4 linked regions of the Arabidopsis thaliana genome follow. The protein of the gene in region 4 interacts with the protein of the main gene of each other region in a pairwise test. Each region holds a gene or a part of one and is shown on either strand. Other genes may lie near its edges. The genes, in order: AT5G04170, MYB94, AT3G13990 and AT1G67170.

What was found.
Region 1: the proteins of AT1G67170 (region 4) and AT5G04170 interact in a two-hybrid assay, tested with the Arabidopsis thaliana proteins (one large-scale study listed by BioGRID).
Region 2: the proteins of AT1G67170 (region 4) and MYB94 interact in a two-hybrid assay, tested with the Arabidopsis thaliana proteins (one large-scale study listed by BioGRID).
Region 3: the proteins of AT1G67170 (region 4) and AT3G13990 interact in a two-hybrid assay, tested with the Arabidopsis thaliana proteins (one large-scale study listed by BioGRID).

The regions. Positions count from the first base shown.
Region 1 is NC_003076.8:1,143,905-1,148,498, reverse strand, and holds AT5G04170 (Calcium-binding EF-hand family protein), read right to left. Parts: upstream 3,069-4,594; 5' UTR 2,921-3,068; coding exon 2,203-2,920; intron 1,842-2,202; coding exon 1,795-1,841; intron 1,693-1,794; coding exon 1,517-1,692; intron 1,434-1,516; coding exon 1,415-1,433; intron 1,085-1,414; coding exon 980-1,084; 3' UTR 718-979; downstream 1-717. Other genes in the region: ACA3 (alpha carbonic anhydrase 3), read left to right, coding at 76-243, 329-382, 473-592; AT5G04160 (Nucleotide-sugar transporter family protein), read left to right, coding at 3,722-4,171. UniProt on the Arabidopsis thaliana protein: Potential calcium sensor.
Region 2 is NC_003074.8:17,538,592-17,543,006, forward strand, and holds MYB94 (myb domain protein 94), read right to left. Parts: upstream 2,717-4,415; 5' UTR 2,445-2,716; coding exon 2,312-2,444; exon of another isoform or gene 2,144-2,311; coding exon of another isoform or gene 2,029-2,143; coding exon 1,899-2,028; intron 1,775-1,898; coding exon 1,036-1,774; 3' UTR 698-1,035; downstream 1-697. UniProt on the Arabidopsis thaliana protein: Transcription activator involved in the activation of cuticular wax biosynthesis under drought stress. Binds directly to the promoters of genes involved in cuticular wax biosynthesis. Transactivates WSD1, KCS2/DAISY, CER1, CER2, FAR3 and ECR genes.
Region 3 is NC_003074.8:4,624,800-4,632,667, forward strand, and holds AT3G13990 (dentin sialophosphoprotein, putative (DUF1296)), read right to left. Parts: upstream 5,815-7,868; 5' UTR 5,585-5,814; coding exon 5,407-5,584; intron 5,038-5,406; coding exon 4,994-5,037; intron 4,620-4,993; coding exon 4,448-4,619; intron 4,109-4,447; coding exon 3,976-4,108; intron 3,570-3,975; coding exon 3,043-3,569; intron 2,842-3,042; coding exon 2,502-2,841; intron 2,405-2,501; coding exon 2,143-2,404; intron 2,063-2,142; coding exon 1,967-2,062; intron 1,801-1,966; coding exon 1,339-1,800; intron 1,242-1,338; coding exon 909-1,241; 3' UTR 584-908; downstream 1-583. Other genes in the region: ATBRXL2 (DZC (Disease resistance/zinc finger/chromosome condensation-like region) domain containing protein), read right to left, coding at 6,371-6,449, 6,533-6,924, 7,022-7,157, 7,842-7,868.
Region 4 is NC_003070.9:25,125,284-25,130,099, forward strand, and holds AT1G67170 (sarcolemmal membrane-associated protein), read left to right. Parts: upstream 1-1,889; 5' UTR 1,890-2,100; exon of another isoform or gene 2,101-2,148; intron 2,149-2,412; 5' UTR 2,413-2,443; coding exon 2,444-3,027; intron 3,028-3,160; coding exon 3,161-3,306; intron 3,307-3,405; coding exon 3,406-3,497; intron 3,498-3,604; coding exon 3,605-3,862; 3' UTR 3,863-4,174; downstream 4,175-4,816. Other genes in the region: AT1G67160 (F-box/kelch-repeat protein, putative (DUF295)), read right to left, coding at 644-1,815; AT1G67180 (zinc finger (C3HC4-type RING finger) family protein / BRCT domain-containing protein), read left to right, coding at 4,816-4,816. UniProt on the Arabidopsis thaliana protein: Has no transcriptional activation activity.

The sequences.
Region 1 (4,594 bases), on a different chromosome or scaffold from region 4:
ATTTACCATACCGTTACAACCTTTTCCTGAAACTCTCTGCTTATTTTTTGCTATGTCTTCTTACATTTTCGATAGATCATGGACAAGATCCATAAGATCGCAGACGTACAAGATGGAGAGGTCAGCATCGGAAAGATAGATCCAAGAGAATTTGGATGGGATCTTACAAAGTTTTATGAATACAGAGGTTCTCTCACGACTCCTCCTTGCACGGAAGATGTCATGTGGACCATCATCAACAAGGTAAATAATTCTAGCAAACCTTGAACCATATCAAGAATCTATAAAATCCCGACTCAAATTTGTATGCCTATATTCAAAAATGCAGGTGGGGACTGTTTCACGTGAGCAAATTGATGTATTGACAGATGCTCGTCGCGGTGTAAGAACTATACACTCTCATATAAACACATTTACTAAGAACACTTTTGAATTTCTGTTTTTTAACTAAACATATTTTGTTAATAACTAGGGTTATGAGAAGAACGCGAGACCAGCTCAACCTCTGAACGGACGTCTGGTTTATTTAAACGAGCAGTCCAGTCCAAGTCCAACTCCACGGCTAAGAATACCACGAGTTGGTCCGGTCTAAGACAGTCTTATAGGACAAGGCAACTCCGAGCCCTAATTTCCATACAAAGAAAATTCGGAAAAGAATTTTGAAGATGTATGAAAATTGGGAGCCATAACTATTTTTTTTTAACTATTCTTTTGATTAAAAGATAAAACTACGCAATATTATATGCATAAAGTTTTTCTTTTATACATGTATTCCAATAAACAAGATGTAATAATATCCAACCATAATGAGTTGTTTGATTATTTTATAACACAAGATCTCTCACTATACATTTCACATTTTTTTTATAAACTCTTGAGTTCAACTAAACCGGAAAAGCTTCCATTGACAATAGCATTCACACAACAAAGAACATACAAAAAAACAGAAGATGTGCAAACGGGTTACCGTAAAAAAAACTTATGCGATGAGGAAGGGGAGGACGGTGAGCATGAAGCTTTCGTAGTTGAAAGTAGCTGAGCCTGAGTATGCTGTGTCCTTCTCCTTGAACTTCTCTGTCAGCCCCTGCAGTTTCCATCATATTACAATTCAGATTACTAAACTTCTAAATACCACACTCGAATCACCAAACCACAATGTAACAAGAACTGTTGCGGTCTCAGATGCAATCACTAGTGAGGCCAAACTCATTGCTGTTCTGACTCCTAAACCTCACCACATTTGACAAAACTAACAAACTTAGTTCGATATTCGGGCTGAAGGACAAGTTTGAGTTTAACTCTCCCCAGGGTTAATGACTTAATTTCTATAACTAATAAGATTTCAATCTCATTTGACCTAGGCGCACTTATCTAGGAGATGTATAAGAGATAAAAAGAGTAAATGAGAGCGTACCTTAACAGTGAGACAGCACCTGCATCAAGGCAAAACAGATACCGTTAATAATAAATAAGCAACGGCCACAGCAAGAAGAAGAAGACGGAAAGAATAACGTACTCAATGAAATTGTCATATTCGATAGCCCTGTTCTTGCCTCCGCTTTTGTCAAACTTGGAAACCAGCAGATCCAAAACCACAGGAGAAACCGAAAACCCAAGGCTCAAAAGCGCATCTCTCAGCTCATTCACATCTATTCTTCCACTCCTGTCCTTATCAGACCTCTCAAAAATGGACTGCCAAAACCAACCACAAGAGTGAATATCCCAACAATCTTGCATAATGGTTACCAGAAACCAAACAAAGTAATGAAAACAATAAAAACAATTGGAACTTACCCTCCAGTTCTGAAGACTGTAGAAAAGTGCAGTAAACTCCTTAGGTCCTGCAACATGTAGACTTCACAAGTCAGTAAAGAACACCAATTCAAAACCAGAACTAAATGATTATTTATGACTTCAACTAGAACTAAAATAATGAAACCAAATGATTCAACAAGATCATAGAGACAGTGGGATACTCTTTTGCACGTAATTAAAGGAGAAGTCCACAAATATTGTTAATTTTGCCAACATGGTAATAGAAAAACCCTGACGATATGACCCAAAGTATGAATCTTTTGAGTTTTGCATCTTAGACAGATAATAACGATACTGAACAAGAATCATAGAGATAAAAAACTTCAGAAACTAACAATCCTTGTTGAATCTAAAGCAAATTTGGGTCAAATCAATCAGAAAACTCACCGATTTTCATAGCATTGCTATTGGTGAATAGATACATAAGAAGATGAACAGTTCTCATACTGAATCTCTGTTGATAAGAAGAGAGAGCTCCTTGAAGCTCCTTATCATCAATAAAGCCACTACCATCTTGATCTGCAGCCTGAAAGCAAGCCACTATATTCGGATCTGTCCCCGGAGCAAAACCTGACGGAATCAGAGAAGCAAAAGGACTTCCATAAGAGGCTTGCGGAGGATAACCTCCGTATCCGCCACCGTGACCAGAAGACGCTGGACGAGGTGGAGCACCACCGTAACTTCCATAGTCAGAAACCCCATGCGGTGGAGTAGCTCCGTATCCTCCACCGTGCCCAGACGGCTGCGACGGACGAGGTCCAGCACCGTAACTTCCGTAATCTGAAGATCCAGACGGTGGTGGAGCTCCGTAGCCTCCTCCGTATGGTTTCTCCTTTGGCGGCTTGTTGTAGTCTCCTGGAGAAGGCGCGTACGGAGCTGAAGGAGGCGGTGCTCCGTATGATGAAGATCCGTACGTCGGCGCAGAAGAGGATGATGATTGTGGTTTAGATGCGCCGTAGGGTACAGCGTAAGGAGAAGAGGTTGTTGATGATCCGTAGGGAGGATTGTTTCCGCCGGAAGAGTAAGGTGGTTGAGGTGGTGGAGGTTGATTACCGCCGCCGTAACCGTAACCGTAACCTTGGCTAGTCGGAGGATATCCTGACATCGATGAAATGACTTGACAATTAAGAAAACAAAAACCGAAACTTCGAAGAGAGATCAGAAATAAAGGATCTTAAAGTTTTGAGATTTTCGTCGAAAGAGAAAATAAAAATCAAAGCTTTGAATGTGATATTTAGTTGACCTCAAGCTTGTGTCAGATTGTCAAGGACACTCTTGGGAAATTTCTCTCTAATTTCAAACTATTTACAATAATGCCATTGGAATTAGATCTAACCGACACTATAATTAGCGGGGGTTTTAGTTCGGTTTAAGACACTAATTTCGAACGGTTTGATATATTGTATTAGTTCGTTTGATTTGTGTTGTAATTAATTTCAAATAGCCTCAACAGAATTATCTTCATATATTTTATCTTATTAAAATTATCATATTTCATGAAACATAAAAAAATAGTAGTATTATATACTCTTACTTGAATGTAATTTTCTTCACCATAACCTCTAAATCTTTTAACCAAATCCATATAGTTTCACAATACAAATATCGATTTGATAATATCGTCGTTATTTAGGCAACGATTTTGATATTATCTACTTAATTTAATTAACAAGCAAATAATACGTTACAAATACAAGGGTTACTTAGTTAGACATTAATTAATAAAAGCAAAGGCTTAACTTTATTTGTTCATCTAAAAGCTTTTTGTGTCCTTGCCGTTCCATGCTCCAAGTAAGGACCTGATTTCTCTCGTTTTCTCTTTCTCTCTCTCTCTCTCTCATTCTCTCAACGAAATCTCGATCTCGTCGAGGAAGAAGAAGAACCCAGATCAGAAAACATAACAACAATGTCGTCGTCTGCGAAGAAACAAACCCTGTTCATATCGACATTAATCATCTCATGGTACTCTTCAAACATCGGTGTTCTTCTCCTCAACAAGTTCCTTCTCTCGAATTACGGATTCAAATTCCCGATTTTTCTCACAATGTGTCACATGTCCGCTTGCGCTATCCTTAGCTACATCTCCATTGTTTTCCTCAAGCTTGTTCCTCTCCAACATCTCAAATCTCGTTCTCAATTCCTTAAGGTTGCTACTCTCAGCATCGTCTTTTGTGCTTCCGTCGTCGGTGGTAACATCTCCCTTCGTTACCTTCCTGTCTCTTTCAATCAAGCCGTCGGTGCTACGACGCCGTTTTTCACGGCTCTGTTTGCTTATCTTATGACCTTTAAGAGAGAAGCTTGGGTTACTTATGGTGCTCTCGTCCCTGTCGTCGCCGGTGTCGTCATCGCCAGTGGGGTAAGCCTTTTTGTTCTGTTCTCAATTCTCTTAACAATGTCAGTGTTGAATGTTAGGTTTCCTGGACCTCCCTAGATTTGAAATTCATGTTTTTTTTTGGAAAGATCCAATTTGGATTCAGATCACTGATCCGTAAATAGATGTTAATGTTGAAAGACCTAAACTTGGACAAAGGTCTAAACTTTGAAATCAGGGCAAATTTGAGTGTTGTTGTTATCTAAAAAGCTTCAGCCTTTTATGGTTTAATCAGGTGTAGAATTTGGTAGAACATCATTTTGGGATCTAACCTTCCTTATTTCTCCGTAAAGGTGATATCTTTATACTGTTTTTGTACTTCTCTGAAGCTTGTCAAGTGGTTATATCATATCCTTGTTTTGTGTGTTTTGAATTTGTATCATTGTGAAGAGACGATCTTATTGCTAT
Region 2 (4,415 bases), on a different chromosome or scaffold from region 4:
CAAATCATATTATGTTTAAAATATTTTCACTATTTTTAATTGAAATATTTGTTTGGTTTATTCTGTTCAATCTCACAAAACGTTCGTCAACTATCAAAACAAACTTTTTAAACCATTGAAAAATAGATCAGAACAGTCAAATAAATTCCATAAATTCCATTTTCAGCCAATTAATTTACTAAGCCCGAAATTTATTAGAGACTCAAGCAAAAAAAAAGTCAACGAGTTGGGTGTGAGACAGTGTGACATTAAAATATGTGTGATGTCTCTAAGGTAAAGCATCTCTACTTGGATCATGCTCGTTGTGCTCAACACAGGCATAAGTCAAACAAACACTCACATTTTCTTCTGCATTAAATTCACTACTTTTTTCTTCTTTTTTTGCCTCTCCTGTTAATTAGCAGCTTTATTTTATTAGTTTTACATAATTCTATGAATCACTAGATTTTGCCTCCTATAATCGGATACAAAACTAGATTTTGCTCTTTAATTTTCTTTTAGTAACAACTCATTTTTTGTTTGTTTAATGAAATATCTCACCAGTAAAAGAACCTATATCTTTATTATAGAACTTCATTATTTAGTACATTAAACAGTTTAAAGTAATCTTAATCTATATAATGAATGAGGAGAAAAGTTTGTTCTACCTACTGATTGAAGTTTATGGAAACATAAAATCTGAAACCTAACCATATCAATACTAATTAAGTGACATGAATTTGTATAACCAAATGAGTCACACGATTAAAAAGACGTTACATTAATAAAGATGATGTACACTTTTGAGTTTCTACTACATAGAAGATATCATCTCCACGTCGACAAAGATTTAAGGAAAAAATAAAGAGTTACTACTAAAAAGATAGAGAAAAATGTGTTAAAACTTAAGAGTTACTACTAAAGACTAAAATCCCTAATTACTGCAATATGATCATAATAAGGATTGAAAACAAAACTAAAGAGTACTTAATTATACAAATTGTTTATAACTAAGCCTCGTGGTTCCTCAAGCAAATCGTCAAACTTTAATGCTTTCTAGAACAACACTTCCTGACCCTCTAGTGACATGTTATTGATGATCATATCGTGGCTTTGCTCATCAAAGAGCCATTTCTCGAACAAAGAAAGAGAGCCTTGTGTAATTAGACCATTAATGTCATGGTCTATTAGTTTAGGCTTCTCTTCAGCTTCATCTATGGAGTTGAAGCTGAACAAAGAATGGTCAATCCCTTCTCCGTCTCCTTCGGTTGTGCTAGGGCTCGAAGCTGCCGTGGTGATAGCCATCTCGGTGGCTGCAACCGGCAAGGGCACCGAGGTCTTTGGTGTGTCTTTCATAAAATTCTGAAGCAAACGAGCAATGTTCTCAGCACTTGAAGCATAGACCCCAGATGGGTATGGATTAGTGTTTCTCGTGGTGGTGGTGGTGGTGGTGGTAGAGGACGAAGAAGATGATGGACCATAACCAAGATCGGGAATAGAAAAATTAGTTGGGTTTTGTGGTTTGTCAATAGACAAGGCATCACAAAGAGCTTGTTTAGCCATGTTGATATCTGTCTGAAGCCTTCTCTCCCATTGACCTTTACTGGAGTTGCTGCTTTGATGTGAGGTAGTGTTTTTGTTTGATATGGAGAAGTCTTTATTATCAAGGCCATTGTTGATAGTACTATCACAAGAATCATTCATCTTCTTGAGCTTTTTCTTCAAATGAGTGTTCCAATAGTTCTTTATATCATTGTCTGTCCTTTCTGGAAGATATGATGCTATAGCTGCCCACCTTCATAATTATTTGGTCCCCAAGTTATTTAAAGTTCAAAACCTTATCTTTATGCATACCCAAAAAAATAAAAGAATTTGTATACTTTTATAGATCATGTGCATGTGAATATGTATGTATTTACCTGTTTCCCAAAAGAGCTTGAAGATGGAGAATCATCTTCTCTTCATGCTCGGTGAAATTTCCACGCTTGATCCCAGGTCGAAGATAATTAGTCCACCTCAATCTACAGCTTTTGCTACATCTCCTCAAACCTAAATCACCACAACAACAACAAGATAATTTCATTAAAAGAGTAATTAATTTGTGATATATGGACAAAAAAGCTGGTGCCATAAATCGGATATTATTACAATTTTTCCTTTTCATTAAATGATCATACCAACCAAGTGGAAGCCAGAACAAAACAATCACAAACCCAAGAAAAAAACAAAAAACATTAAAGGGTACTTCTGAAGAGTATAGGGGTTAACAATTGAAATTAAAATATTACTATTGTTCATTAAAAAAACATAATATTAAGATAGAAGAAGATACCTGTGTGAGTAGGCACAGATCTCCAGTTTCCAGGACCATGTTCTTGGATGTAAGAAACCAAGATGATATCTTCCTCTGGTGTCCATGGTCCTTTCTTCACTCCAATCTTGTCACAGCATGGTGGTCTTCCCATCTCTATCTTCTCTATGTAAATATCACTTTGTGATTAGGGGAAGAATGGAACGGTTTGTGGTATGAGCAGAGAGAAGGACTTTGATGATGATCAGATATATATATTGGTGAAGAACGGTTTGTGGTTTTTTGTGGCTTGAGAGCTTAGGAAATTGTAGGGTTAAAGAGTACTTAAGACAAAGAGGTACAAGTGGTGGTTGGTTTTGTCTGAAGATGTGGAGAGAGAGCTTGTGTATATTTATACAGCCAAAGAGAGAGAGAGAGAGAGAGAGAGAGAGAGAGAGAGAGAGAGAGAGAGAGAGAGAGAGAGAGAGAGAGAGAGAGAGAGGTTTAAGCTGAAGAGTGAATTAGTAGCAATAATAATAGAGTTAAAAGTAACAATAATGAAGAGTGGGGTTTTGCTATCAAAGAGTCAACATGGACAGCCAAATGCATTTACTCTCTTGCTCTCCAAAGTCAGCCTCCTCTCTCTCTCTCTCCACCATTACTCCATGCTTTCTCTCTCTAAAATTAGCCTACTATTTTCTCTTTGTAATTAGTCATTTCATATTATCGCAAATAAACCCTTAATTTTGTCTCCACACGAGAACATATGTGCATGTATCATTTTATTAGGTGTTCATCAATTTGATTGGGTTTAGACTTCAAAGACTTTGATTGCATTTATGCATGGGTCCACAATGAGAGTGAAATGAGTATATAACTTCTATTTATGTAATTAAACCTTCTAATTATACATTTGGAAAAGCATACATGAATTAAACAATAAAAGGATTTTCATAATATGAATTTGTAAATTTGGATTTTCCACTTGCATGCATATATGTGGCATGATTTTACAATGTCCTTCCTGCGTTATTGAGAACCAACCGGAATTTAAACTAATTATCTGTCTCTCTAAAAATATTGATATTTTGTGAGTTATGTTGTGATCAAATTGGTATACATATCATATGAAAACTATTACATGATCTCAAAATATATAAAACTAGTAACCACTTAATAAGTCGACTTAGCATATATCAAAATTGAGTGAACTTAACTAAAATCAAACCAAATATTTTGGTTTCAATCCCGTCAAATTCTCATGAACAATCAAATATAGACATCAACAAAACACAGAATAAGTAGCAAAATTTATTATTTAAAAGAAGAAAAAAAAGAAGTTAAATTTGAATTGATGCGAATTTAGTCGAACATGTAAAAATGTTAATTAGTGGTGTCAGGTGTGACTTGTGAGCTTTTGTAGGTAATTGAATTGAACGGTTGATAAAAGATAATCGAAACACATATCCCCACATTCCCAATAAGGAAAATGTCCACACATATAGATCTTTTGGTGATGTTGGACTTGTTGGTATATTTAGATCGATAAACTTTTTTTTTGTAAAACAATAATGATTGTAATCTCATACACTAAGAATTGGTTTAAAAATCAGTTTAAGGATTTCAAAAACTTTACAAGAAACGAGAGGAATGTTGCAAAGCGCGTCGTCGTTGTGTATTGAGCTTTTAAATTGGATAGGAAATAATATTATACGTATCTAAATAATTAACATAAATATTATATAATACAATATGAAAAAATCGTCTGAAGATACTACGTACAATAGATACAAATTCAACGGACCGTAGAGACTTCATTGAACAAAATAGGTTGAAACCCCATACGCCACGTCTTTTTGTATTACGTAACCCATGTCCCGAGGATGATGGTATTAATAATTTTGACTAAAATCGTCACATAGACACCTCTAACTAGTTATATTTATTTGTTGTTAAAGTATAACTAGTTATATTGTAATACTGAATATCAGAAATTGAATTGTATATTTCGAAATTATTTTACGTTGTTGGTATCGTTTATAATATTGATTAGAATTCAACAGAAAACTTCTTGTCTGGTTCTTAAGGTTAAGATTATGCTTTTAATTTTACCGAGGCTGAGTATCATGCTATGCGTCGATTTCTT
Region 3 (7,868 bases), on a different chromosome or scaffold from region 4:
GTCAAAATGGGACAAATTAATAGAGTATTAGTGACTCAACATCATGGAGTCTCAAGAGATTCGTAGAGAGTAATCATTTCTCAATAAGGTAGGACTTAGGAGGCCTATTAAATCAGAGAAGGAATCAAAGTCCGTACCAATTAGGCTCTAAGTAAACTCTAGTTGGCTCCTTGATTAAGACCCACCTCCCCAAACTAAGTATATTTACTTTTCTAAATATGTCAACAAAACGATCAATTAGATTCTTTTGTTATGATGACACAGTGTGCTATGACACCTAAAAACTAAAGTAATCAAGGAGATAATCAAAACCTATAGGCCTGAGCTTCAACTAGTTCTCCGATTAAGAATATTTGTAATCTATTCTAAAGGCTAGAGGAAAGTTAGGTCAAGCTCAACAACTAATGATTCTCTATCAAGAATTTAATAAGGAATATGAGGAAATGGAGAGAGAAGACACATAACTCAAAGAAGAACATTGAACAGCTAAACAAAACACACAATTCTCTTTAATACTTGTAGAACATTGACAATGGGAAACACTAGCACCAAGCAACAATGTTTCACTCACAGGGTTCCACACTTAAAAACCTTCACATGCATTGTAGGGTTCTTGAAGTCGACCGAAACTATAATAGCAGTAAATGATTAAGAAGCACGGACAGGACTTTACCTTGACAATTTGACGCCATGGGAGAATAACACCATACCTGCAGCTGTAAATAATGAGGGGCTATGGAAGCAGACAAAGCATTTATAGACAAATTGTTGAGAGCTGGGAACATTTTATGCATTGAATAAATAAAGATTAATTAAAACAGAGTTTGGCGTTTCATAAGGAGAATCAAAATATTTGCTTTTGGCTATTATATAATCCATTAGACAAGAAGACAAAGGTTAGATTTTCTTCAGAAGTTTGATGGCCAATTCGGATGACCAAGTTGTGATTGCTGATAGGTACCAATTTGAGACGGAGGAGGAGAGGGAACGACACCGACTCCAACATTACCACTGAGGCCAGGTCCCATGTGGTGCGGATTCGCCATCGTACCAGGCTGTGACGGGTGGAAGAGACCCTGGAACTGCATGTGAGATGATTGCGCAGTTGGGTTGAACGATTGGTGTGCTGTATGGGATGATAAATAAGCACCATGAGGCGATTGTCCAGCTACGTTGTAATATGGAGACTGAAGGCTTGAAAGATCTCTTGGATTTTGCATCCATATCTCAGAAGTCTCAGCCTGTAGTGTTAGATAAGGAGACATGAATCAGAATAAAAAATAATTGGTAAAAACATAAAGTTCGGGCACAACTACCATACTTATCAATTATCATTACCTGAGGATTTGGAACGTAAATATTTCCATGTTTATTTATCATGCGAGATGGATCTTCAAGTCCCGTAGCGTTTCCAACTACATTGGGAGGATTAGTTGGATACCCATTAGGATTGTTGTAAGTCCCAAAACCCGCAGGTCCACCAGTTGGAACTGGTTTATATTGCTGATGGATTCCATACTTGACACCATTTGAACCGAGATGAGAACCGCCTCCAGGCATCAGCACATAGCTATTGCCATTTGAAGGGTGTGCATATGCTGCTGGGTTACCTGAGTAGCCTGGCATGGGCATTTGGGGAACATAGACTGGGGAAAGGAATTGACGATAAGGCATGAGATTGGGAAAATGCGAAACATGGACCTGCGGATACATCTGTTGCATTGATGCCTGCTGTTGTTGCTGTAACATGGGAATAGTGGATGGTGGGGCATTATTTAACATGTGAGCACTTAATCCCTGCTGCATTATCAAAAGGATACTTGATCAGTTTTTCCTAGTTAATAAAACAAAAAAGATAACTATGACACATGCACAAACCAACTGCTCAAACAGGAGCTAACTAGACTCTTACGCATCAACTCATGCTGGCAAACTAGTAACAACTAACAACAGAAACATAAATTACCTCGTGTGGAGATGGTAATCCTTGAACTCGTACAGTTTCATCCATTGCAGGACTAAAGTACGGAAATTCATAACTACCATGATTGTCATAAGCCTGCTGGAAAGGAAGAGCATGTCATTTTTGAATGAATTTATCTTTCCTTGATTTTTAAGAGTTAAAATTGCAAGAACCCTTACAGAAAATTTTTGCAACTCCGGAGGATCTTGCTGCTGTTCAAACTCCAAAGGAGTATAAGGTGGACCATTCCTATTGAGTAATTCAATCCCCGAGTACGCATCCAAATTGTCAGATCTATGAGTTTCTTTCTGTTCGGGTAACTGTGGCTCAGATACTGCCGAGACGGGTGAGTCAGATCTAGAAACTCTGACATGATCATCAATAGTGATAGGCAGAACGCCCGGACCATCTGCTGAAGCCTCAGGACAAGTAACTGGCGAACTGTCAACAATATCACCAAGTTAATTGGGGAAGATGCATGTGATCTCAAACTATATTCAAATGTACAAAAAAAAACCCACCAACTGTCAGAACTTACCTACGATCAGATTCTCTAACTTCTTCTGAAGAGTGTGATTCTTCGAAAGCAGATTCTGAATTCCTTGAGGAATTAAACTCTTGAACAAAGCTACCAAAAGTTAGCTGACAGCGGTCAGTCTCCGGGACACGAATATGATCTGCGATGATGACATTCTGACTTTCACTTATATGAACATGTGAAAGCTTATTCTGCAACTTGACGGCTTCTGTTTCCACATTTATGGAATTATCAGCAGGACGACGAGCTTGAGACTTTGTAGGTGTTCCAATTACTCCAGGGTTATGTCCAACAGGTTTCTGATTAGATTTAGGCTTCCACTCCTTGTTCTGTGAGGCTCCTGCAATAAGTACAGGTTGATCAAGAATATCAGAAGTCATGACAGGAAATGGCTTCTCACCAGGAATTCCCAATAGATTGAAAGAAGGGATTATATTACTCAAAGCAGAAGCTACACAGAAAATAAAGTGTCGCCTAGCAGAAATCAAATAAGAAATTGCACAACATCCATTCGGTTAATAAATATTTGCATATAAGTTACCCTTTGTATGGCCACCAACTTGTTGTGTTCTAGCATATTGGCTTCCTCTATTCCCACGCTGTCTGTTCAAATATGACCTATTCTTTTCCACTCCACTGGGCATAACAGACTCACGTGCAGTAGTTCGACTGTGATCAATCTTTGAAGTTGGGGAAGATGGTCGATGTGCATTTGGAGGTCCATTTTTTCTAATAGAGGACCCTGAAAAAGAGGGCACAGATGGATCTTTACCAACATTTTCAGAAGGTTTTCCACCTAAACCTCCACCCCTTACTTCACGTTTAATAGCTCCCACGGGTGATGATCTAGAAACAGGAGAAGGTACATGAACTGGATCTTTGGAAGACGAATATACACCAAGAACTGAATTGGTTGATGGCAAAGTAACTCCACCGAGTTCTTTATTGACAGGACAATGCAAAGGACGAATTTCAGCCTGTCTGAGCCTGGCATCTGCTGGAGCATTACACTCGTCAGTTGAATCTTGAGCCCCAGAAGAGTTACGATTGCCCAAACCACCTCTTGAGCTGGCAAACAGTTAAAATAGAGCGAAAATTTTATTTTCTTATTTAAATTCAGCATAGTTTTCTTGAAATTATGAGACAAGAAGTCCTTGTTGGGCTAGCAAAGGAATGCCTACCAAGTGAACATACACACTCCTATCTCCGTCTACCAAAACCCAATGGCAGTATGGCACAAAACTAATCTATGCTTCTTATTGTCTTAAAGAGTTCATTGACAAAAAAAAAAAAAAAAAAAAAGAGTCCTACTTTACTATTTTTTGGAAAAGTACAGCTAAAGCAAATTAACTCCCTTAAAATATTTTTACAAGAGTAACAAATCATTCTATTTCACATGTATAAAAGAAGGCAAGTTAGTGATAAAAATGCTAGAATAAGAACAATAGGATAAATTACAACTGATGATACATACCCCAATTTGTTCACAGTGGCAACCACTTTGTTAATATTTGATCCAGAGGACTGGGCAGAAGAATGCTTCAACTCTTCATCAACATTTGGATTAGACCTGTTGTCCCTAACAACGCGAAACTCTTTGTTGGATCCTGCACTAACATGAAACGAACAAATTACAAACAGACAGAAAAACATTTCTAGGTGAATATGGTCAATACATTACATAAAACTTGAAGGCCTCACGCCAATGGCCAATAACAAAGATTAAAAAAAAAAAACAAATCAACGCAAAACAATTTCTTCTACGTTTCCTTTGCTTGCCTGCATATATTTTTCTGGATTTAACCAAGTTCATTTGATACTGCCGTTATATAGATTATGTTTACGAACCATTCAAAAGACAGCTTAAAACAAATTAAAGATTTTTAGTACAACTGTACAAGCATGCGAAAGAAACTGGCAAGTATATCATCATCAAATTGATTTACCAGTAGCAGGATTTCTAGGAGATGCATTTCGTTGAGCAGCGTTCCTGGGGAAGAAATTCCTACTGTAGCCTCCTCTCCGAACATTATGTTCAGGCTGTGTACGAACTTTCACTTCACTGGTAACATTTTCAAGAGGTTTCTTTATGTTGGCAGGCTCAACAAATACTGTATCCTGAAACCAAAGGAACGCCCTAAAAATCAGAGGTTATACAAGAGGTGTCTTGATGATCTCTACAAATTCATCAAACTATTTGAATGGCTAGAAAAGTTGAAATTTTTTTTGACGATCAATTAAATTAGAAGGCACACAAAATACTAAACAAAACAAAAAAAAAATATAGCTTGCCACAGCAGACATCCGATGAGATATAATAGTCACACAAGCACAACTAACATTATGAAAAATCTAGTCACCTTCTTCAAATGCAGTTTCGAAAAGACTAAGGAGAGTCAAACAAAAAAACTACAATGTGGTTGCATTGGCAAAAATGTTAAAAAGGAGAAGAACTGGGAACAAGATACCATAACAGTTATATGTAACCTCACCTCTTTTTTCCTGTCTCTTTTTCTCTTCACCTCGTGAAATGGATCTGAACAAAACAAAAGCTTTTTAGCGAACCAAAACTATGATGGCAACAATAACACACATATTAGTCACCCAACGAAACGAGAGCCAAGAAAAGAAGACCAATAATATTTCAAGTATATAGTAATTGAAGTATTCTGAAGAGAATTGACAAATTATCGAAATGAAAACAAGAGTTATCCATCTATCGAATTATCAACAGAACTCCATCAAACGAAATTTGCATAACCTATCTACAGCATTCTACATACGCCTCAAACAAGATGTTGTAGCATTCATCGTGATCAAGATAATGCGGACCAGAGAACAAACAGTAAAACCCTAACTTCCGTCAAACTAGGAAAGCAGAAAAAGAGATGAAGAGAGAAGAAACCTTGATGAATCAGCTTCTCCACAGCCTCGTTAGCATCCATGTTAGCTTCTTTTAAGGCAGTGTAAATATCAGCATCGGAGTGACTATCCACAACTTCCTTAATCGATTGAATCATCTTTTTCGCTTCATCATCGAGTCCTACCCCACGATTACCGCTAGTTCTGGACCCAGTCACCATTACGGATCAAAGACGTATCGAATAAACCGAAACACACAAAAAACAAAGAAATTCAAGGATCGAGTAGCGAAACCAAGTGAGATCAGCGTAATCAAGGTAGATGCTAATGATTCGACTCTTAAACCCTAAAATCGGATAGAGCAACTACTAGGGTTTCGAGTACAGAGAAGAGGGAACGGCTTTAAGAGAACAAAAAAAAAAAAGAAGTTAGGATTTATTCTCACGCGTCGAAAAAATTGGTTCCAAATTCACTAATTGGATAAACCTAATTGACTATTTTACCCTTAATATAACTCAATAGAAAGATTAGTCAAAGGAGAAGTGAGAAATGGAAATTTCTAAGGAGATACAAGTTAGCTGGCAATTTAACTGGTTTTTACTTTATACATTTCTTATTCAGAACATTTAAGTACATGCCATAATTATTAGCACCAATCATGGTCAATATAATTAGAGAAAAAGTAATAAAGTGCACAAAGTGTAATTTTCAAATCCAATAATATGAATTTTCTTAGTATTAAACTATATACAGTACATTACCTTAAGAAAATAACACCAAGAAAATCCAGTAAAACTAATACCTCCTCTTTATAGATAGATGTAGATGAGAAAGAAGAGAAAGAGATGTACTAACAACCACCAACTAAAAAGCACATTCATTATCTGAATCCCAAGTTATTTCCATCACTCTGTAGCTTTTTTCCAAGTAAAACATATAAAAGAAAAGTGTTTTGTTTTGGTGTGTGTCAGATTCTTCTCTAGAGAGCCTTCGACCGTCATCGGTCATCACAAGTATTGTTGTTGTATCCGAGCTCTGTTCTGCTCCCACCACAATCTTGCATTCGTTTCCCCAAACTTCTCTCGGCTACAACCACAAAGACAATGTTGTTAAAGTGCTTGCTTTTGAAAGGGTTTTACTAAGGAACAGAGAAAGTAATGTATCTTTACCTGAAGCGAACACGCCTAAGCTCGCGAGTCCCATCTGGTAAAGCTCTGATTGTGATGTAAACACCTGCTTCGTCCTGTTCCACCCATTCTGTTTCAATGTCACTTGCATTACTTACAGATAGCTCCTCCCCTGAATGATCTGCTTCTTCTTCTTCCCTTGAGAAGCTACTTCTTGCAGACTCATCAACAGATGATGTCTCGGTTTTTGTCCCACTTATGCTAGAGAGTTTTGGTGTTGTAGCAAGACCAGATGAATCATGGTGTCGACTTTGTGTTTGGGTTGTTGGTTGGTGAGCGAGTGAGCCAGAAGAAGCGTAGCCTTTTCCTCGAGAGCATTCTTTGTTCAGAGGTGGAGTTGCAGGACCATTCTTGGTAGACTGAATTCGCGAGCTCTGGTATACCAAATTAAAACTAGTTAGACCTCAAAGTATCAAAGACAGGTTTTGATGAGTAGATTCATGTGTTCAGAAGTGAAGAGGGTGCATATACCCCATCTTCAGATCTAGGAGGAGTTGGAAGTGGGACGCTCTGCTGATTGAACTGCTGTACATTGTATAATTCCATGACCTTGTCGAAATTCTCCGCCCACCACTTTTGAGCTTGCCATTTATCGAACATTTCACGGCTGCAAGTAATACAAATTTGAAGAAATCAACAAATTAGGAGCTGACTTAACCATATACAATACAGAACCAAAGAGCTACCAGGTTAACAGTCTTAGGTTCACAAAACTCAAGGGATCTGCAGTAAATTGTCAAAACTAGAATCTAGAAATATCAATCCTAGGGAGCTGAAGTGTTCCTCTTGCCATGAAGAAAGTTAGTTAGATCATCTTGCTCTCATTATATGTTCCACATACAAAAAGAACTTTACGAAATTCACAAACACTTCCCCACACAATTGTCCTTGGGGAATTCATTTAAGTTCTCCATCGGATTCAACTACCGAAATATAACCCACATCTCAAAGACCTTTCTTGGCAAAAAGGATGTACAAGTTCTCATAATTATAAGAAATGGTTTGGGACCACTTCAATCGATTCAAGAAAAATGAAAGCAGCAACAGTTTCCAACACAGAAATCTCACATAATAATATCCTAAATATCAACTGTACTCTCACATTGCTTGTCTCCAAGAACCACACATCTCTACTTCCAAAATCAAATTAAACAATTTCAAAACAGTATGGATTAGTTCATTTGAGTATCATCTTCAATATTCCTGATTGGAAACATATTGTACCATCTTGATTAAGTCCAATATCCAAACTTTTACTTAGTGTAAATCCTACAAAACAGTTAAAAATTACCTGAACCGAATCCGCTTCATATCATTC
Region 4 (4,816 bases):
CTTGTTTTTTTTATTTTATTTTTATTTTTTAATGTTCTTAATTTCAAATATATAGAGAGAAAAATTATTATTCTTGTTCTCTTAGGGACGACGCCTTGTAATTGGTCTGCTCACAAAGCAACCGCACTTGTGTTTTTTGATTCATTGAATATAATTTATGAGTGACTAACTAAATATTTAGTAAAGAAAGTGGGAAAATAATAGTCAACAAATTGAAGCGTTAACCTTGCCATAAAATCGTCTTTTCATTCAAAAAGTGAGGGATTAAATTACATAAGAAAATTACAAAACTTTTATTTCATAGGCCAGAAGTCTAGAAGGTACGTAGGCCAATATTCTAGTTTGTTCATCATAGGCTCATCGCGATAAACTCCATATGATTAACTGCAACACTATTTGTTATGAATTTCCAAATAATGTATTTTAATTTTGAGCTAGGTTTCATATGAAATCAGAATAACAAAATAGTAGTACGAAGTACGAAAAAGCAATTTTAAAAAACAGCTAAAAACATAACAAAATAGCAGTAAGAAAAAGTGGAACCAAAAAGCTGAAAGTATCAAAGCCGTGTTGCTAATCAAACCCAAAAACAAATAATCCACCCTTACCAAAAAGACAAAACTTGATAGTATTAATTCACAACCATTTATCACCAAAAGTGGGGAAAAACCAACGAGCATCCTTGAAAAGTTTTGTCGAGGAAGTAGTTAGATGTTCAAACTCTTGGACCACATAATCGCTTCCGATTTGGTAAACGCAAATACGGTCAGCGTTATAACCATCGCGTAGACTAATCCCACAACATCTATGATACTGATCATTACTAAAATATATGCAATCTCTCATAACTCCATCTTTGGCCGGAACCGTAATTCCTAAATCCAAAAGCAATGCCTCGTCCCCTATAGACTTGATTAGTACTGTAAATTCTGATGATTTTGGATCCATCTTATTGACAGTGAAGACGCATTTAGCCTCTGGAGAACTATCCATTTTACCACCTACAATGATCAAAACTTCTCCAGACAAAGTCACAGCAAGATTGCTGAAATACTTCATATGAAATCTATTTACACACACAGACGATCCGAAACTTGCACATTCCATTTCTACTGGAGAAACACCACCGGAGAAATCAAAAACAGTGAGACATTGATGTGCACTAATCATGTAAAGCTTGCTTTCTTTAAACACCATATCAACACAGCCTTGATGCTTTATTGGTTGAAGAACTTTCCAGCTATTGTTGTCATCTCCTCTCTTGTGATGATATGCTACATAACTAGAAAGATTACAAAACACAAAGTAATCTCTGCTTTTGTCATCTACCCACAGAACCGCTTTGTCTATTTCTATATGGCTACCGCTAATGGGTCTCTTGAATCGCATATACCGTTCTCCATCGATTGATTCGAGAGACGGAAGAAGAATCCTCTCTCGAGTAAAAAGATTCAAAAGATGAAAATCAGCTCTATGGTCGAACATAAGGAACCAACTACCGGAACTCGCTAAACAACGACTCGTAGACATATCAAACCCTAAATCTCTGATTATGTAGGTTTTGTTTTCATGAGGATCAAACAACTTACATGAACCGTTGTTTTCGACATTTTTGTTTGGAAAAAGAATGATCCATGGAGTTGTTGGATTTGTTACTCCGATGACTGATTTCGAAGCAACATACCATGTTGAAGAAACGCATCTCGCTCGATGAAAATCAACGAAGCTCAAGCGCTCCAAGATTAATCTAACTAGGTCCACGATATAGGCCGCTTCGAATCGTCCTTCCATATTTTTTCCGTCGGAATCGCTCATCTCCTTCTTTTGTGCTATTTCACGATTTTCAATCTTAGGGTTTGTGCTCAGAGACGTGGGGGAGAAGATGAGTCAATAAAGTTAATGAGGCTATTGGGCCATTATGTAAAATAGGCCCATATATTAATGGGTTTCGTTGGATTAGAAATCTTAACTTGTAGGAAAAAAAAAATTCACGCCGGCAAAAGAAAAGAAAAAAAAAACCTTCGCCGTCGTTTGCTTAGTCTTCTTCGCTCTATCCCAACACTCGATCAAATAATCCCAGTGAGCTTCTTCCATTCCAAGGTACGAATCGATAAAGTCATCAAACCTATACCTTTTCAGGATTTAATGGTAATTAGTCAGGATCTAAATCGTTTCTTCGAATTTGATTTCGGTGATCTAGAACCCTAATTTGGTCGGGAATTTTCAAATCAATTGATTTCCCTGCCCTAATTTAATTTGATGATTGTTCTGTTTGCCTATGAATAAGTTTGATTTCAATGGCAAACAAAAAAAAGAGAGACATTGATTTGAATATTTTTACTTAGGTGCATTGATTCTGCAGATTGTGTTAATGTGTGTCACTCTTAATCTTCTGTCTTATGTTTTTCTCAGTTGATAAGGAATTTGAAGAAGCCTTTGTTTAATGGAAAGCAAAGGAAGAATCCATCCATCTCATCATCATATGAGGCGTCCTCTTCCAGGTCCCGGTGGCTGTATAGCGCATCCGGAGACTTTCGGTAATCACGGTGCTATACCACCTTCTGCTGCTCAAGGTGTGTATCCTTCCTTCAACATGTTACCTCCACCTGAAGTTATGGAGCAAAAGTTTGTGGCACAACACGGGGAATTACAGAGACTTGCTATAGAGAATCAGAGACTTGGTGGAACTCATGGTAGTTTAAGACAAGAGTTAGCAGCAGCACAGCATGAAATACAGATGTTGCACGCGCAAATTGGGTCGATGAAGTCCGAGAGAGAGCAACGGATGATGGGTCTTGCTGAGAAAGTTGCTAAAATGGAGACTGAGCTTCAGAAATCTGAGGCTGTTAAGTTGGAGATGCAACAAGCACGTGCTGAGGCACGGAGTCTTGTTGTGGCTAGGGAGGAGCTTATGTCTAAAGTGCATCAGTTGACTCAGGAACTTCAAAAATCTCGTTCTGATGTGCAGCAAATACCTGCTCTGATGTCTGAACTTGAGAATCTAAGACAGGAGTACCAGCAGTGCAGGTAATGGTTGTAGAATGGAAGTTTCTGATATCACTGGCTCCCGACACTCTTCTTATAGTTATTGAGTTTGTCAGCTTTTGTATCATCCTCTTATGAAGGTTGGGATGAATTTGATTTTATCTGATTCTGGCAGGGCAACATATGACTATGAGAAGAAGTTTTATAATGACCATCTCGAGTCACTTCAGGCAATGGAGAAGAACTACATGACTATGGCTAGGGAAGTTGAAAAACTTCAAGCACAGTTGATGAACAATGCAAATTCAGATAGAAGAGCAGGTATATTGAATTATTTAGTTAGTTTCTGCTCTATTTAGCTTCATTGTTCCACGAACTTTTTTCAGTAATTTAAGAGTTGTATCTGTCAATCAAATGAAGGTGGCCCTTATGGTAACAACATAAATGCTGAAATTGACGCTTCTGGACATCAGAGTGGAAACGGTTATTATGAAGATGCTTTTGGTCCTCAGGTTCGTGAGTTTCTCTTTGCTAGCTCGTCTTTTTGAGACCCATTATAGTTTTCCACATTAGTTGATTTAGATGTGCTTGAGCTATATACGTTTTGTTACTTTTGCAGGGATATATTCCTCAACCAGTAGCTGGTAACGCAACTGGACCAAATTCAGTTGTTGGCGCAGCTCAATACCCTTATCAAGGAGTAACTCAGCCAGGATACTTCCCTCAAAGACCCGGTTACAACTTTCCAAGAGGCCCTCCTGGTTCATATGACCCAACAACAAGGTTACCAACAGGACCTTACGGCGCTCCATTCCCACCTGGACCATCTAACAATACTCCTTACGCCGGTACACACGGAAACCCTAGTCGCAGATGAGTCCACCAGCTAAGAGTACATATATAAATAACTCACCAGCTACAGATTCCTTCAACTGTGGAATTGTTGCCTGTTTGGTCCCATAATCTTTATGGGTAAAGAGAAGTTGGTACAGTGGTGAACGTTGAGTGCTATTGTTTAACTGATTTTGTTGAGAGCTTGACTTTTGTGAGACGGTTTTCAACAAGTTTTGTGATACAGAGAGATGTAACATCGGGAAAGAAAAAACAAAGAAAGAGAAATTTGTTGTTTGCCCTTCACCATTTTGTCTCTATGACTCTATGTTTCACTCAGTTAAAAAGTTTACAAATGAATCGAAAGTTAAATTTATCTTTGTAATACTGTAGTTTCTAGTTTTAGTTTACTTTTGAAGGGCCCATTTTATTTTTTATTTTATTTTGTGAGAAGGGCCCATTTCATATATATATATATATTATTTATTTTATTTTTGGACAGAATACGAGTTGTTTTAAAAAAAAAATATTTTTGAAACACCGTCCGATAAAATTATTGAAATTTTTTGATATTTTTAAATTCCCGCCAGACTCCCATCTAAATTTCGCTTCTCCTTTAGCCATTTGCTTCCATTGTCACGGACCTGAGAAAGAAGGGGAAGAGAGATTGAAGCAAACAAAGAGATAATCGCAGCAACTTTGTACCAATTAGACCAGGTAATTCTTCTCCAATAAAGAAATTGCAATTTCTAAGGTTTCATTGTTCGATTTCTGTAAAAAGGTTTTTGATTTCTCAATTCAATTGCTGAAATTTGGTTCAGTTACCTCGATTTTAAGTTTAGGGTTTACCGATTCTGGCCCATTTGATACGAAAGATGTAAGCTTTTCCCAATATTGAATCCCCTTGGCTATATAGGGGTTTAATCGCACAATTTGATTTAGAAGAAATTGTTGCAATCCCCAATTTACGTTTTTCATTTGGGTCTGATATTTGTAGGTA